Linked DNA regions of Xenopus tropicalis. The protein of the gene in region 2 purifies or fractionates together with the protein of the main gene of each other region. This does not show direct contact. Links are inferred from orthologs where the notes say so. Each region holds a gene or a part of one and is shown on either strand. Other genes may lie near its edges.

Region 1 (8,127 bases), on a different chromosome or scaffold from region 2:
TCTGCTACACAGAAACACTGTGCCCCCTGCTGGTCAGGAATGGCACTGCAGCGCAGGCTCAGTGTAACAGTACGGCCGGTATAACCTGCGCTTGGTGCTGTCTCAGCTATTGTATCTGCTACACAGAAACACTGTGCCCTCTGCTGGTCAGGAATGGTACTGCAGCGCAGGCTCAGTGTAACAGTACGGCCGGTATAACCTGTGCTTGGTGCTGTCTCAGCTATTGTATCTGCTACACAGAAACACTGTGCCCTCTGCTGGTCAGGAATGGCACTGCAGCGCAGGCTCAGTGTAACAGTACGGCCGGTATAACCTGTGCTTGGTGCTGTCTCAGCTATTGTATCTGCTACACAGAAACACTGTGCCCTCTGCTGGTCAGGAATGGCACTGCAGCGCAGGCTCAGTGTAACAGTACGGCCTGTATAACCTGCGCTTGGTGCTGTCTCAGCTATTGTATCTGCTACACAGAAACACTGTGCCCTCTGCTGGTCAGGAATGGCACTGCAGCGCAGGCTCAGTGTAACAGTACGGCCGGTATAACCTGCGCTTGGTGCTGTCTCAGCTATTGTATCTGCTACACAGAAACACTGTGCCCTCTGCTGGTCAGGAATGGCACTGCAGCGCAGGCTCAGTGTAACAGTACGGCCGGTATAACCTGCGCTTGGTGCTGTCTCAGCTATTGTATCTGCTACACAGAAACACGGTGCCCTCTGCTGGTCAGGAATGGCACTGCAGCGCAGGCTCCCGGCGAGGGATGAGAGGGGAGAAGTGGGTGTGATGATTGGAAATGCACTGCTCCCCCAAACTAGTGCTCCTTACCTTTCCTGCTGGAGAGCTGATTGGGCGAATAATCTCCGCTCCGGGCAGGGTGAAACTGCTCTCCCTGAGTGACACTCCGTTCTGTAAGTCCACGTCAAACAGGTGAGCCTTGCGGTACACGGATACTATGTGCCCTGTGTCAGAGGAACATGGGAAATGCTCAGCTTTGACTTAACTTTTAATAGAGAGCAGAGAGGGATATTCTGAGACAATTTGCAATTGGTCTTCATTTTTTATTACTTGCCGTTTTTTTAAATAATTCAATAATTGTTCAGCAGCTCTGCAGTTTGGAGTTATAACAGCTATCTTGTTACTAGGGTCCAAATGACCGTAGTAACCAGGGAGCGGTTTGGATGAGAGGCGGGTATATGAATAGGGGAGGGGCTGAATAGAAAGATAAGGAATAAAAAGTAACAATAACAATAAAACTGGAGCCTCACAGAGCAATAGGGTTTGGCTGCCGGGGTCAGTGACCCCCATTTGAAAGCTGCAAAGAGGCAGAAGAAGAAGGAAAATAATTCGAAAACTCTACGAAATAAGTAATGAAGACCAATTGAAAAGTTGCTTAGAATTGGCCATTCTATAACAGACCAGCTGTGCCAATGAGCCCCTTACACACGGACGTTGAGGGACAGAACCTTTCTGCAACATTACTGAACCCGGAGAGGAAAGAGTGGGTGTGGCTAAATTCTCTCCGCCCCCATTTCCCCAGAATACTGTGCTGTAAGTGCAGTGGCCCTACCTGTATTGTCCAAGACCACGTGAGAATTGGAAATGCGTCGGTCCGTGTCCCAGTTGGGTCCTTTCTCGTGGAATCCCCCCAGGGAAAGCCAAAGGCCGCACTCCCTGGTATAAAGCAGCGATACGGGGGGGGGTTAGGAATATACACTGTATAGGGCAAAGCTGGGGGGTTGCACCCCATCCCCGGGGCATCGGCACATACCCACCTGGCAAGCTGGGAGTAACGCTGGATAGTGTCCCCATGGAGGGTCTCGGCCAGGCTCAGCGTCTCCTCGGCGTTGCCCCCAATATAGTCAAAGGCTTCCGGCAGGAACACCATGCAGGCCCCCCGCGCCGCAGCCCCCCGGATCAGCCCCCAACACGTGGCGAAATTCTTCTCCTTGTCGGACGTAGAAGTCATCTGGCACACCGCAATCAGGGGCTTGGCAGCACTCGCCATGGCGCTCAGTCGTCTAACCCTGTAAATGGGAAACATGATTGGGGGATTTAGTCCAATCAGAACAGTCGTAATCCCTCCCACTCAAAGGGAGGTACCTAGGCAATGGTGGCAGTGAGCTCTGCAGGTAATTTACCCCCCGGCCAGTCACTGGGGTGCCTGACAGATAATCAGCCCCACTGTGGTGATATCTAGGAAGTGCTGAATGGAAAGTAAAAGTCATTGTAATTGAAAAAATCTGAGCTGTCAATCATATATTGCCTGCCCCGCCTCTATGCCGAAGGCATAGATATATAGGCAATATATGATTGACAGCTCAGATTTTTAAATACATTTATAACAAGTATGGATGATTTCATTAAAAAAAAGAATTTGGGTTTCATGTTTCAGTTGCCTGGTTGCTAGGGTGCAAAGTACCCTAGCAACCAGGCTTTGATTCGAACGAGAGAAGGGAATATGAATAGGAGAGGGGCTGAATAGATAGGTAATTGATATAAAGTAACAGTAACAATAAAACGGGTCAGTTCTCCTGTTGCTAGGGCTCAAATTACCTTAGCAACCAGGGAGTGGATTGAATGAGAGACTGGTATATGAATAGGGGAGGGGCTGAATAGAAAGATAAGGAATAAAAAGTAACAATAAAACTGGAGCCTCACAGAGCAATAGGGTTTGGCTGCCGGGGTCAGTTATACTGTTGCTAGGGCTCAAATTACCTTAGCAACCAGGGAGTGATTTGAATGAGAGGCTGGCATATGAATAGGGGAGGGGCTGAATAGAAAGATAAGGAATAAAAAGTAACAATAACAATAAACTGGAGCCTCACAGAGCAATAGGGTTTGGCTGCCAGGGTCAGTTATACTGTTGCTAGGGCTCAAATTACCTTAGCAACCAGGGAGTGATTTGAATGAGAGGCGGGTATATGAATAGGGGAGGGGCTGAATAGAGAGATAAGGAATAAAAAGTAACAATAACAATAAAACTGGAGCCTCACAGAGCAATAGGGTTTGGCTGCCGGGGTCAGTTATACTGTTGCTAGGGCTCAAATTACCTTAGCAACCAGGGAGTGATTTGAATGAGAGGCGGGTATATAAATAGGGGAGGGGCTGAATAGAAAGATAAGGAATAAAAAGTAACAATAAAACTGGAGCCTCAAAGAGCAATAGGGTTTGGCTGCCGGGGTCAGTTATACTGTTGCTAGGGCTCAAATTACCTTAGCAACCAGGGAGTGATTTGAATGAGAGGCGGGTATATAAATAGGGGAGGGGCTGAATAGAAAGATAAGGAATAAAAAGTAACAATAACAATAAAACTGGAGCCTCACAGAGCAATAGGGTTTGGCTGCCGGGGTCAGTGACCCCCATTTGAAAGCTGCAAAGAGGCAGAAGAAGAATTTATTTAAAAACTATAAAGAAATAAATGGGAAACAGGATTGGGAGATTTAGTCCAAGACACTAAGTGCTAAGACTTTACTTTCCCTTTAATCTCTTTACCAAGATAGGGAATGAGCTGGGAACCCCAAGATGAACCCCATTTGACTTGTTATTCTCTAGTGTAGTTATATATGTTTATTTAACCTGCATCTGGGCAGAGAAACCCCAGAAATGGTGGCTGACCAATAACAGGCGCACTAGGGAGTAGTCACATGACAACAGGAGGCTAACGTCAGCTCCCCGGGCTTTGGCTGAGCATTCTGGGATCTGTAGTTTAGAGACTTCCGGACACCCCATTAGCCAATCGCATTACGCAGCCCCCCCGCACGGGCTATAAAGAAGCGGCGATATATCTGACACACACACTTTCCCAGGAGGCCTCAGCTGTCACAATGTGTTGACGTCACTTACTACGGCCCGACTATGACGCGGCTTATGCGCCCCACCAACCAGGCGCTTCCAGTCATGCTTTTCCCTCTCTCAACATGGCGCCGCCAGGACTTCCCGGGCGGAAGTGGCGTCGGAACGCATAGACTTCCGCTGCGCGGAGAAGGTGCGCAGTGCGAGAGAGAAGCGTGATGGCGTCTAATGCAGCGAAGCAGGTGGCGGCCGAGCAGGTACTGGGCATGGTGGGCATAATGGCTGCTGGGGGGTCTGCCCGGCCGGTACCCCCCCCCCCCAACCGGCCGTTTAAAGGGCAACTAAGCCCAAAGCCCTTTTTTCATTATGGCCATTCATTCCCTTATATAGACACATGTGCTATTATAAGCTCAGTGGGAACAGGCTTCCTTGGGCATTTACTCAGATTCATTCCCTATTGGGATCCCTGATAGCCTTCCCACAGCAGCCCAGGAGCAGCCGGCTCTTCTGCTTCCTAGAAACTGTTGCTAGCCAGCTTGGTAGCAGTGTTGCTATGGTACTGAGCTGTTAGTGATATCCCATAATCCCTCAGTTGGAAGGGGGTTCAACAATGGGACTGGGGCACCTTAGTGTTTTATTATTACAGAGAAAAGGGAATCATTTAACCATTAAATAAACCCAATAGGGCTGTTCTGCCCCAATAAGGGGTAATTATATCTTAGTTGGGATCAAGTACAGGTACTGTTTTATTATTACAGAGAAAAGGGAATCATTTAACCATTAAATAAACCCAATAGGGCTGTTCTGCCCCAATAAGGGGTAATTATATCTTAGTTGGGATCAAGTACAGGTACTGTTTTATTATTACAGAGAAAAGGGAATCATTTAACCATGAAATAAACCCAATAGGGCTGTTCTGCCCCCAATAAGGGGTAATTATATCTTAGTTGGGATCAAGTACAGGTACTGTTTTATTATTACAGAGAAAAGGGAATCATTTAACCATTAAATAAACCCAATAGGGCTGTTCTGCCCCAATAAGGGGTAATTATATCTTAGTTGGGATCAAGTACAGGTACTGTTTTATTATTACAGAGAAAAGGGAATCATTTAACCATGAAATAAACCCAATAGGGCTGTTCTGCCCCAATAAGGGGTAATTATATCTTAGTTGGGATCAAGTACAGGTACTGTTTTATTATTACAGAGAAAAGGGAATCATTTAACCATTAAATAAACCCAATAGGGCTGTTCTGCCCCCAATAAGGGGTAATTATATCTTAGTTGGGATCAAGTACAGGTACTGTTTTATTATTACAGAGAAAAGGGAATCATTTAACCATTAAATAAACCCAATAGGGCTGTTCTGCCCCCAATAAGGGGTAATTATATCTAAGTTGGGATCAAGTACAGGTACTGTTTTATTATTACAGAGAAAAGGGAATTGTTTAACCATTAAATAAACCCAATAGGGCTGTTCTGCCCCAATAAGGGGTAATTATATCTTAGTTGGGATCAAGTACAGGTACTGTTTTATTATTACAGAGAAAAGGGAATCATTTAACCATGAAATAAACCCAATAGGGCTGTTCTGCCCCCAATAAGGGGTAATTATATCTTAGTTGGGATCAAGTACAGGTACTGTTTTATTATTACAGAGAAAAGGGAAATAACTTTTTAACGTGATTAAAAAAGAAGTCTATGGAACATTATGGATAAAGGGTTTCTGGATATTGGACCCCATAGGCCCCTGTAAGAAGATGAGCCAATGCTGGGCTGATCTGTTTGCCCACATTGTTTAAGAGTTGCCATTAAAGGGAAAGTTAAGCCAAATACCCTTGTTTAATATGTACGTTCTGTGTTTGTTGCTACAGGTGGTGGCTGGATTTAATCGCCTGCGCCAGGAGCAGCGAGGTCTCGCGTCCAAGGCAGCGGAACTGGAGATGGAGCTTAACGAACACACGTGAGTCTCATTAGCAAACAGGTCGTTCAGCAATGAAGAATCCTTCAATGTGATTCTCCCCGAGGGTCGTTATTCCTCTCTGTTGCACGCTACATTTGTTCTGTAGTCGGAACCAGTGCAGATCTCCCTAACTAACTGACAGTCGTCTCCCTCGCTCCGCAGGTTGGTTATCGACACCCTGAAGGAAGTGGAGCAGGGCAGGAAGTGTTTCCGGATGGTCGGGGGGGTACTGGTGGAACGCACCGTGAAGGAAGTGCTTCCGGCTTTGGAGAATAATAAAGAGCAGGTAAGGCTCTGCCTTGTGGGCACCTAATTAAAGGGCATATTAACCTTTATTGGGGGCAGAACAGCCCTATTGGGTTTATTTAATGGTTAAATGATTCCCTTTTCTCTGTAATAATAAAACAGTACCTGTACTTGATCCCAACTAAGATATAATTACCCCTTATTGGGGCAGAACAGTCCTATTGGGTTTATTTAATGGTTAAATGATTCCCTTTTCTCTGTAATAATAAAACAGTACCTGTACTTGATCCCAACTAAGATATAATTACCCCTTATTGGGGGCAGAACAGCCCTATTGGGTTTATTTCATGGTTAAATGATTCCCTTTTCTCTGTAATAATAAAACAGTACCTGTACTTGATCCCAACTAAGATATAATTACCCCTTATTGGGGCAGAACAGCCCTATTGGGTTTAATGGTTAAATGATTCCCTTTTCTCTGTAATAATAAAACAGTACCTGTACTTGATCCCAACTAAGATATAATTACCCCTTATTGGGGCAGAACAGCCCTATTGGGTTTATTTCATGGTTAAATGATTCCCTTTTCTCTGTAATAATAAAACAGTACCTGTACTTGATCCCAACTAAGATATAATTACCCCTTATTGGGGCAGAACAGCCCTATTGGGTTTATTTCATGGTTAAATGATTCCCTTTTCTCTGTAATAATAAAACAGTACCTGTACTTGATCCCAACTAAGATATAATTACCCCTTATTGGGGGCAGAACAGCCCTATTGGGTTTATTTAATGGTTAAATGATTCCCTTTTCTCTGTAATAATAAAACAGTACCTGTACTTGATCCCAACTAAGATATAATTACCCCTTATTGGGGCAGAACAGCCCTAAGATATAATTACCCCTTATCAAAGCATTCAAGACCAAGTAAATGTTAGTTGGGGAGGGCGGAGCTTGACACTGGCTAGGGTGTGGCTACAGACATGAAACACAAGTGATTGGCTGCCCTGGGCAGTTGCATTCAGCTCTTGCCCTGCCATTCTGAGCTACATTGGGTGATACTGGGTGGCCCTGGCATGTAGCTGCCCCCCCCCCCCCCCCAGTTCTGAGCGTAACCCCCACGTCTCATCTCTCTGCAGATTAACAAGATCCTGGAGTCCCTGAGCACACAGCTACAGACCAAGGGCCGAGAGCTGAATGAGTTCCGGGAGAAGCACAACATCCGGATCATGGGGGAGGATGAGGCCAAGCAGCCCCCCAAGGAGGGCGGGGACAGTGACGGCTCCAAGCCCAGCTCTGCAGGTGTCCTTGTGTCCTGATACAGAGCGTGCCCGTGCCCGGTCTGCCCAGAGTGAGCTCAGGCTCCTGTCTGATTGGACGCAACCATGCACAGACCCCCCCTTCCTTTCCCAGTTCATGCTCTTAGGCCCGAGGAGACTTCTGGTGGACTTTATGCATTATGGGCACTTCAGCAGTTGGGCTACCGTTTGCCCCCGCAGTTGCCCGGGGCTTCATGCGATGCCTTATTAGTCCGGGCACCACCCAATTCCCAGTTTGTCCCAGTCGTTCTGCAGTCATGTTAGTTCCACCCCCTTACCCCAGGGATGGGGTCTGCTCTAACAGCTGTTTGGAACCACAACTCCATATTAAGCTGAAAGCTCAGGGATGATGGGAGTTGTAGTGCAAACAAACTGGAGGGCTCCACCCCCTGGCATTGGCGTTTATAGTGCATATAGGCCGTATGTCATTATTAGGACAAGTCCCCTGGGACATTTCATTAAGCTTCAGTCTCCATGTTCCCTGGGTAAGTGAATCTAATTTCCCCCTATGGGCTGCTCTCTTTCCCATGGTCAAACAGGGGGGTGGGGCTTTAACCCAACTGAGAAGTCTTTAGTGGGTGGGTCCTCTATTGCATGATATCTATGTAGTAATTGTAGTGCAGGTCTGACCCTGTCAGTTATGTGCAGGCCACACCCCCTCACCATGGGAAAGAGAGCAGCCCAATAGCAGTATAGATGATCAGAGTTCCCTGTCTGAGTATTGGGGAAATTAAATCAGCTTACCCTTAGGAAAGTAGGCTCAAGTCTTATCCTGCAAAGGCTTGTGGGATACCTACTGTCTAATGTTTTTT
Region 2 (7,484 bases):
AATATTGACAACCATACAAAGAACATGACAAAAAAAAATCCCTTTAAAACAAAAGTAAAAAAATGTTCACAGTGGTTTGAATAAACAGTATGCGAATGATAGCCATGCCATTCTCTCACTAGCCCATTAGTGCCCTCTTTAGGTATTTTATAAAGCCTTTACAATGTATGTAGATAGACTGTATAAAGGGAAATAATGAAGCATACAGATTTGGAGTGTACAGTAACACTGGCATAAGGGACGCAATTCAGGAGATAACATGGCCTATGTGCTTTCCAATAGAAAAAGGCGTTGAGGAGAAAGAAGTGACTGCTGTAGCAAATACAATTCATTAAAAAGGAAACAGAAAAAAAGCCACAAACATCTAGATGGACCTAACCAGGACACATTACACAATTAAAAAAATGAGATTATATACTATAATACAAGTCCAAAAAGAAAAAGCTTTTATTTCTTTGCTTGTTTTGTGATCATGCCTCGTGGTGGCGTTACAGGTCTGCTTGCATTAGGCTTCTTTTTCTCTGCAGGTTTTAGGATCTGAAAAAGAAAAGAAATTCAGTATCAGACACCTAGAACACTAAGTGGAGAGCAACACAGGAGGGTTTATCTGCGGGTAATAAACTATAGACTATAATTCTATTCTGATACACATTTATTACACGGCTTTACTTCCCATGATTTCATAGTGTATCATGGCATTAATGGTGTATTTTAATTAAATTTTTTTTTTAAATGGCAAAATAAAGCTAAAAGGGGATTTGCTAGCCTAAGAAAATAATTTAAAAAAAAAAAAAAGTAGGCAGGTGCCATTTTGTGGGCACTGTTATTAGGCAAGTTGTGTATTTGTGTAATACTGAATGAAAAGTAACTGTCCTGCTTCTATACCTGAGGCAGATAGCAGGGAAAAGCAATATATGATTGAGAACATTTGCATGCAAGTCTGCATGTACAATGTATAACCCCATTTACTGTATAGAGCTGTAGAATGTTGGTGCGTATTTATAAAAAAAAAAAAAAAAAAAAAAAAAACAACTTTCCATATGCATTTTAGTATATACAGAATAGCTTCAGATGATCATATCCCAAGCACTTCTGGTATTTCAGGAAAAACCTCTGCTGCAGTACCCAGGTTATTAAAGATCATACAGCCATCTGAAAGTCCATAACAAACATGCTAAAATTGTGTACCTCCAGGTGTGTGTGCTGGTAAGGACCAAGATATTGCAAAACCTATGCACAGGGACATTTACAGGCCAGTCACAAACTTTCCCTTCCTACTTACAAGGGAATTATTAACACAGTGAGACATGTGGAATGTCACTGCTTGGCACAGCAAGACATGTATTTTATTTATAGGCACCTGAGGGCATGTGCTTAAGGCAACACAATACTTACTGTAACAGTCAAGAAAAAATATAAAAAAAATATATATTATAGGCAAGCAGAAACTTCCACAAGAACAGGACAACTACAACGCGGTCATTCGCCTGATGTATAACCCACATCATCCACTGGGCCAACTACAGGACCGAGCCAAAAAGGTCTCCAATTAGGAAGTAGCTAGCTACAGGGCATAGGCTTTCTTCCACTGCTATTACACTTTTTTTCCATGTTGAAAGTGAATTAAAAATATACCCAATCTTACCTGGAAGGAACACATTAACGTTTCATCTACACTCATCATTGCTCCAGCATTATCAAATTCTCCACAATAGTTTGGGGCTGAGAACAAAGTAACCAGTTGTCTCTTGGCAAAAAATTCATACCCATCTTCAACCACCTGAAAAAGAAAAAGCGCCATTAATTTAGGGTTCCAAACAAATGTTACATTAGGCAGAACAAAAACCCAAAGCCTGTTTTGCGTATTTCACTTTTCAGAAACAGTACAAGTCAGAACTTACAGCTCAAGTTAGCAGCATGTTGTATATGAAAGCAAAATGGAATGTTTTTAGCCAACAGACTGTACTGAAAAACATACAAGGTGGTTTTACCATAAGTGATCCTGTGATACGCAATACACTAACCCACTTTTGTTACAGGTAGACAAAACACACAATTAGTTTACAATATACCTGATGAGCTCGGCAAATGAGATCCAGATCATGTTTGTGTAGAAATTTTGCAACCACTTCAGCTCCAAAAGTAAAAGATACACCTCTGTCATTTTCACCCCACCCTAGGACATCTTTGTCAGGATCAGACCAAAGTAAGTCACACAGAAGACCCTGGTCTGGAACGTCAGTAGGACGCATAATTCGTCGGATCTGCTCCATCGACTGAAGGTCTGGAGACAAACCTATAAAATAAAGTCACATGTTAGTATAAGATTGCTAGATATTTAAAGACAAAATACACTTGTAACTAGACCAAACCACTCCTACCCTTTTTCATTAATGCTGGGATTCAGCTGGAGAATAAAAAGCCTGCTGTGATTACAGGCTAGGTAACAAGTTGGGGCAGTTAACTTTGATCAGACTGAGCTGCAATATGGCACATCATTGACAGCATAACAATATGAATACTATGTATAAAAAGTAAATGCAAAACTTGCAAAAATGGTGTTACAGTTCCTAAAAATTTTTTTCAGTGCAGTCTGTCTAAACCAGGGCTGTGGAGTCGGTAGATAAATTCTCCGACTCCTCAGTTTGATACTTCCGACTCCGACTCCTCTGTATTTAATATGCTAATGTATTTTATACATTCATACAGTCAATGAAAAGCTTCATGGTCACTCAACGTGTTTATGCACTGCGTGCATTGGGCTTTATTCTTATAGCAGAGAAGTAATTAATTATGACTGTTTGTGAATTGGGACATTTAAACTTGCTTTATTTATTAAATTAAATTATTTTATTAAATTTTAAATTTATTAAATTTAGTCTGAGTCGGTTCATTTTTTGCCGACTCTGACTCCAGGTACCCAAAATTGCCTCCGACTCCACAGCCCTGGTCTAAACTGCAATTGAATGAAGCAGGGATACAAACATAATACAGACTTAGATGCTAGAATATAAGGAGTCCAAGCACTGGCAGCCTTCAATTTACATTATACTTGAGGATTAGACACCTACCGCAGGCTCATATGCACAGCAGCAAATATAACCACCGCTGACTGGTATAATTCCCACATGATCTGGTTATGAGAGACATTACCTAACACTTCATTCAACTGCAAATCACTTCGGTATGTAATGATTTGTGCAGTTTAACTCCATTCTTGCTAAAAGCATCAGTCAAGCCCAACTCCCACCAGCAACAAAGTTCATTTTTAGAATTCTTAGCAAGGCAATGTTGCAGGTGAACCTTTTCTAATCAAGGCTACCAAAGCTGCTGGTACTAAGATATCCAGCAATAATTACCAATATACAGTCCCAGATCCCCTTTACATAACCTGTATATGTTTGTGAAAGGAAACCATTCACCAAACTAAATACACATTCAGTTGGAAATGTTTTCATTAAATTAACCCTTAATAAAGCGTTCGAAGCATATATGAATATGTATCTGGGTTGCAGGTTTTAAACACCTTAGAGGACCAGCTCTATCTTTCAGATTTATTACATTCACTGTTTCATCAAAAGTACGGTTATAAAAATGCTTCCGGTTGTACACTCCCAATAAGGTAAAACACACAATCTGCAAGACCCAAGGTGCGGCGCTGCACTTCCAGACAAACCTACTAAAATCGGAAGCTGGTTGCTGTGGCTCTAAAGCAGATTTTTCAGCTTGCCTTTAATTTAGGTATGTGTGGCAGGGTTACTTCCTTAGCATAAATTATTTATGACTGTTTACAACTGGAGTATTATATAGTGATGGAGTATTATATAGTGATGGAGTATTATATAGTGATTGAGTATTATATAGTGAATAATGTACCCCCTGTTGTAAAATATAGGTGTTTCATGACCATATAGAAGTACGAGGACAAAGTCACAGAACTCCAAGGCGACTTCTAATATCTTCATATTTTACAACAGGGGGTATATTATTTATTATAATACACAAGTTTCATTAAGTCACCTGACAAATTACATCACAAAGCACTTTTTATAATGGATGACATCACTAAGCTCCATTTATAAAGATGTAATACACAAGCCATGAATATCCTGTAAATTATAATTATTTTGATAAAGATTTTAACATGAATCTTTTAGCATGATAGAGCAATTATTGGAGCTGGGTAGAGTGGATCGTTTACTTTAAACAATTTTGAAAACCTTTAAAATGGGCTCCTTGACTGGCAAGCTAACAAAAATGGGAGCAAAGGACACCACACAGAATGTATATGCCTTTGGGATGGAAGAGCACTGAGCCGTATACAAGCAATAGGGATATACATAAAGATCTAAAACATAACTGACGTGACATTTTAAAGAAACCTGCAAAATTCCAAACAGTTCGTTACCTCCATGACAGCAAAATATCTTCTCGTCAACTATAGCAGCTATTGGCAAACAATTAAAGCAATCTGTGAATGTTTTCCATAACTTTATATTATATCTTCTTTTACCTGTGTATAAATAAAAAAAAAAAAATACAACTGTCAAAAAACACCACAAAACAAAAAAACTGCACACAGATAATAGTACTGCCCACATGCATAAGTCTGTACTTAGTCTGCTTGTGTACCACAAGCAGCTCAACTACAGATCTCTGAGATACTTCCTAGTCTAGCATGGAGTCCCACCCCTTTTCTTTGCAGAGATCTTTTTTTAGCGGTAAAGATGGTCTAAGAGGTGTCTGCTCCAATGGAAATCAGGCATGTACAGTAGACACCTCTTCGACCATCTTCACCGTTAAAAAGGAGAGGTCAGCAAAGAAAAGGGGTGGGGCTTTACGCTAGACTAGGCAGCAGCTGAGAGCTGATGTTGAGCGGATTGAGATACAGAATCTACATCAGGGATCCCCAACCTTTCTTATTCGTGAGCCACAGTCAAATGTAAAAAGACTTGGAGAGCAACACAAGCATCATAAAAGTTCATAGAGGAGCCAAATAAGGGCTACGATTGGCTATTAGGCAGCCTATATGCACACTATCAGCTTACAGGAGGCTTTATTTGATAATAAATCTTGTTTTTATTTATTCAACCAAAACTCCCCCAAGTCAGGAATTCAAAATAACTACCTGCGCGCAGGCCTGGCAATTAAGCATTCACTCGCACCTTTATATGCGCAACGTGTTCTTCCGCGTGTCCATCTGCGCCTTTATATGTGCAGGGTGATCCGTGCTGCGCTTTCCTCCCCCGGCGCATTCATTTAATTTGCGGTGAATATGCTGTGTACGCATATGCATTGCGCCTATAAAGACGTGACTCTTTTCTACGTGCCTTTTTTCAGGCGGTGCTTCATGCACACAGCATATTCACAGAGACGGCCCACTAAAACGCAGACCGGCGGTTGGGGACCCCTGATTTAAGAGACTAGTTGTAGGGGTAAAAAAAAAAAAAAAAACACACACACACACACACACACACACACACAACATGACACCAAATACCAAATAATTGTTCAGCAGCTCTCTACACTCAAATCTAAAAATTTTAATAAAATGACATGTTGCAAATTGTCCTAAAATAGCACACACTTTGTCTAAGATTTTGTTAACTAGAACTACCCCATTAAATATTTTTTAGCTTTTAAATATGAATTTGCCAACATCCTATCCCAAGTGAAACAGAATAAAACATAGGTACTTACACTCATCATAAAAGCCATAGATTCTGTTAATGCTGGCACATTCATGATTGCCTCTGAGGAGGAAGAAGTTCTCTGGATATTTGATTTTATATGCCAAAAGAAGACAGATCGTTTCTAAAGACTGCTTCCCTCTGTCCACATAGTCTCCTAGGAACAGGTAGTTGCTTTCAGGTGGGAAACCACCATATTCAAATAATCGCAGTAAGTCATAGTACTGGCCATGAATATCGCCTATGGAGAAAATACATCAAACATTTTTAAAAGCCTACAATAAACCCATACATGTAACATACACATCCAAAGGGCAGATATAAAGGATATATATGTGATGTAAGCATTTGCTGCTGATAAATTCAGTTACTTTCAACATAGTATGAGCCCTTCCTAAAGTGTTTTTTTTTTTTTTTTTTTTAATAAGCCAGTCTACACATTGGAAGTAGCCAAGCATTACCTCTAACAGTTATCAGACCTCTATTATTCAGATAGAGGATCTATGATCTGCCAAACTTGAAATTGGGTTTTGTGGATAAGGGGGTCTTTATCATGTGGGCCACCATAGCATAAAGCTAACCTAATAAAGTACAAGGTTGTTAGGGTGTGGGTACTTACAGCATTTTTTAAAGATCAGGAGCTGGCAGTTGTTGGAAGATAAATTTATTTCCAGAGCGAAAAATCAAAACAAAACCGTCTTTGCTAACTTTTCACAGAAAGCACAGTTCCAACTCCAGAATAAAACACCGCACATTCAGTTACCTCTTTTCAGGCAGCTTCCCTATACTCTGAGATCTGGAGTTCTAATGTATGTTACTTAAGTATGTGAGTTTGCCTTTCCCAGCAGCCCATGCTCTTAAAGGAGAAGGAAAGGCTAGTAAAGAGTTAATCTCAAGCTGCAGGCATACCTTCAGTTCTCTCAATAGTGCCCTTAAGTCTCCCCATATTTGTCCTGTACAGATGATCAGAAGCCAAACAGGAAGAAAAAACGCTGAGCTGTGTAAAGAAAGTTCCCATAATGCTTCACTCCTGCACAGACACCCAGACCAAGTGAACATGCTCAGTTAGACTGAGTCAGCTTCCTACTGATTGGCTGAAATCCACATTCCTAAGGGGGGGGGGGGGGAGGAGGGAGTTCTTAGCATTCTTAAGGGAGGGGGGGCAGGAGAGGGGAGACAGCAGAAGGCTGCGTGTCTCTGGCACAGGAATTAGACACAAGAAATCTTTTCACAGAGAAGTCAGTGCAGCGTTTCTGCGAGTGCTTATGGCTGTATTTACATAGACCTTTCTGATAAAGCTAACTTAGTTTTTACCTTTCCTTCTCCTTTAAAGGCACATTTAGTTACAACAAAACAAACTATTAACAAAAAAAATGTATATAAATATAACTTTTGCTTTCTATTGCTCTATAAGCTTAGAATCTTATTAATAGAAAAAAAAACAGGCACAACAATGTCATTAGCATATAAGAGAAACATTTTGTTTAGAGGAGACTTGCTGCAGGTTTTACCAATTGCCAATTAAGCTCAGTGCATGTCTCCTGCTCACATTGTATTGAATGGAAACAGACACACATGGCAAGTACTATTTTTGGCGATTTTTGTAATGCTGGGTAAAACAGATAGCATAGTTTATTATTTTGTCTGCAGAGAAATAAAGTGGACAGAAAAAAAGGTTTGCTGGCCAGCAATAGAGAAGGGGGGAAAAACATTTTATACCAAACATAAAGGCAGACAAAATAAATCACTGTGCAACAAAAGGTACGGTTATTTATTACAGAGAAAATAAAAATT

What was found. Proteins that work in one complex are often made in the same cells at the same time.
Region 1: the proteins of ppp1cc (region 2) and pfdn2 purify together in Homo sapiens (affinity purification with mass spectrometry; 4 studies listed by BioGRID and IntAct, with this or other methods). This does not show direct contact. The link is inferred for Xenopus tropicalis from reciprocal best matches to the Homo sapiens genes PPP1CC and PFDN2.

The regions. Positions count from the first base shown.
Region 1 is NC_030684.2:143,078,820-143,086,946, reverse strand, and holds the start of pfdn2 (prefoldin subunit 2), read left to right. Parts: upstream 1-4,001; 5' UTR 4,002-4,004; coding exon 4,005-4,043; intron 4,044-5,660; coding exon 5,661-5,749; intron 5,750-5,911; coding exon 5,912-6,035; intron 6,036-7,135; coding exon 7,136-7,315; 3' UTR 7,316-8,127. Other genes in the region: nit1 (deaminated glutathione amidase), read right to left, coding at 820-953, 1,562-1,665, 1,767-1,999. UniProt on the Homo sapiens protein: Binds specifically to cytosolic chaperonin (c-CPN) and transfers target proteins to it. Binds to nascent polypeptide chain and promotes folding in an environment in which there are many competing pathways for nonnative proteins.
Region 2 is NC_030677.2:162,943,333-162,950,816, forward strand, and holds part of ppp1cc (serine/threonine-protein phosphatase PP1-gamma catalytic subunit), read right to left. Parts: intron 5,932-7,484; coding exon 5,701-5,931; intron 4,514-5,700; coding exon 4,409-4,513; intron 2,297-4,408; coding exon 2,073-2,296; intron 1,781-2,072; coding exon 1,646-1,780; intron 538-1,645; coding exon 448-537; 3' UTR 1-447. UniProt on the Homo sapiens protein: Protein phosphatase that associates with over 200 regulatory proteins to form highly specific holoenzymes which dephosphorylate hundreds of biological targets.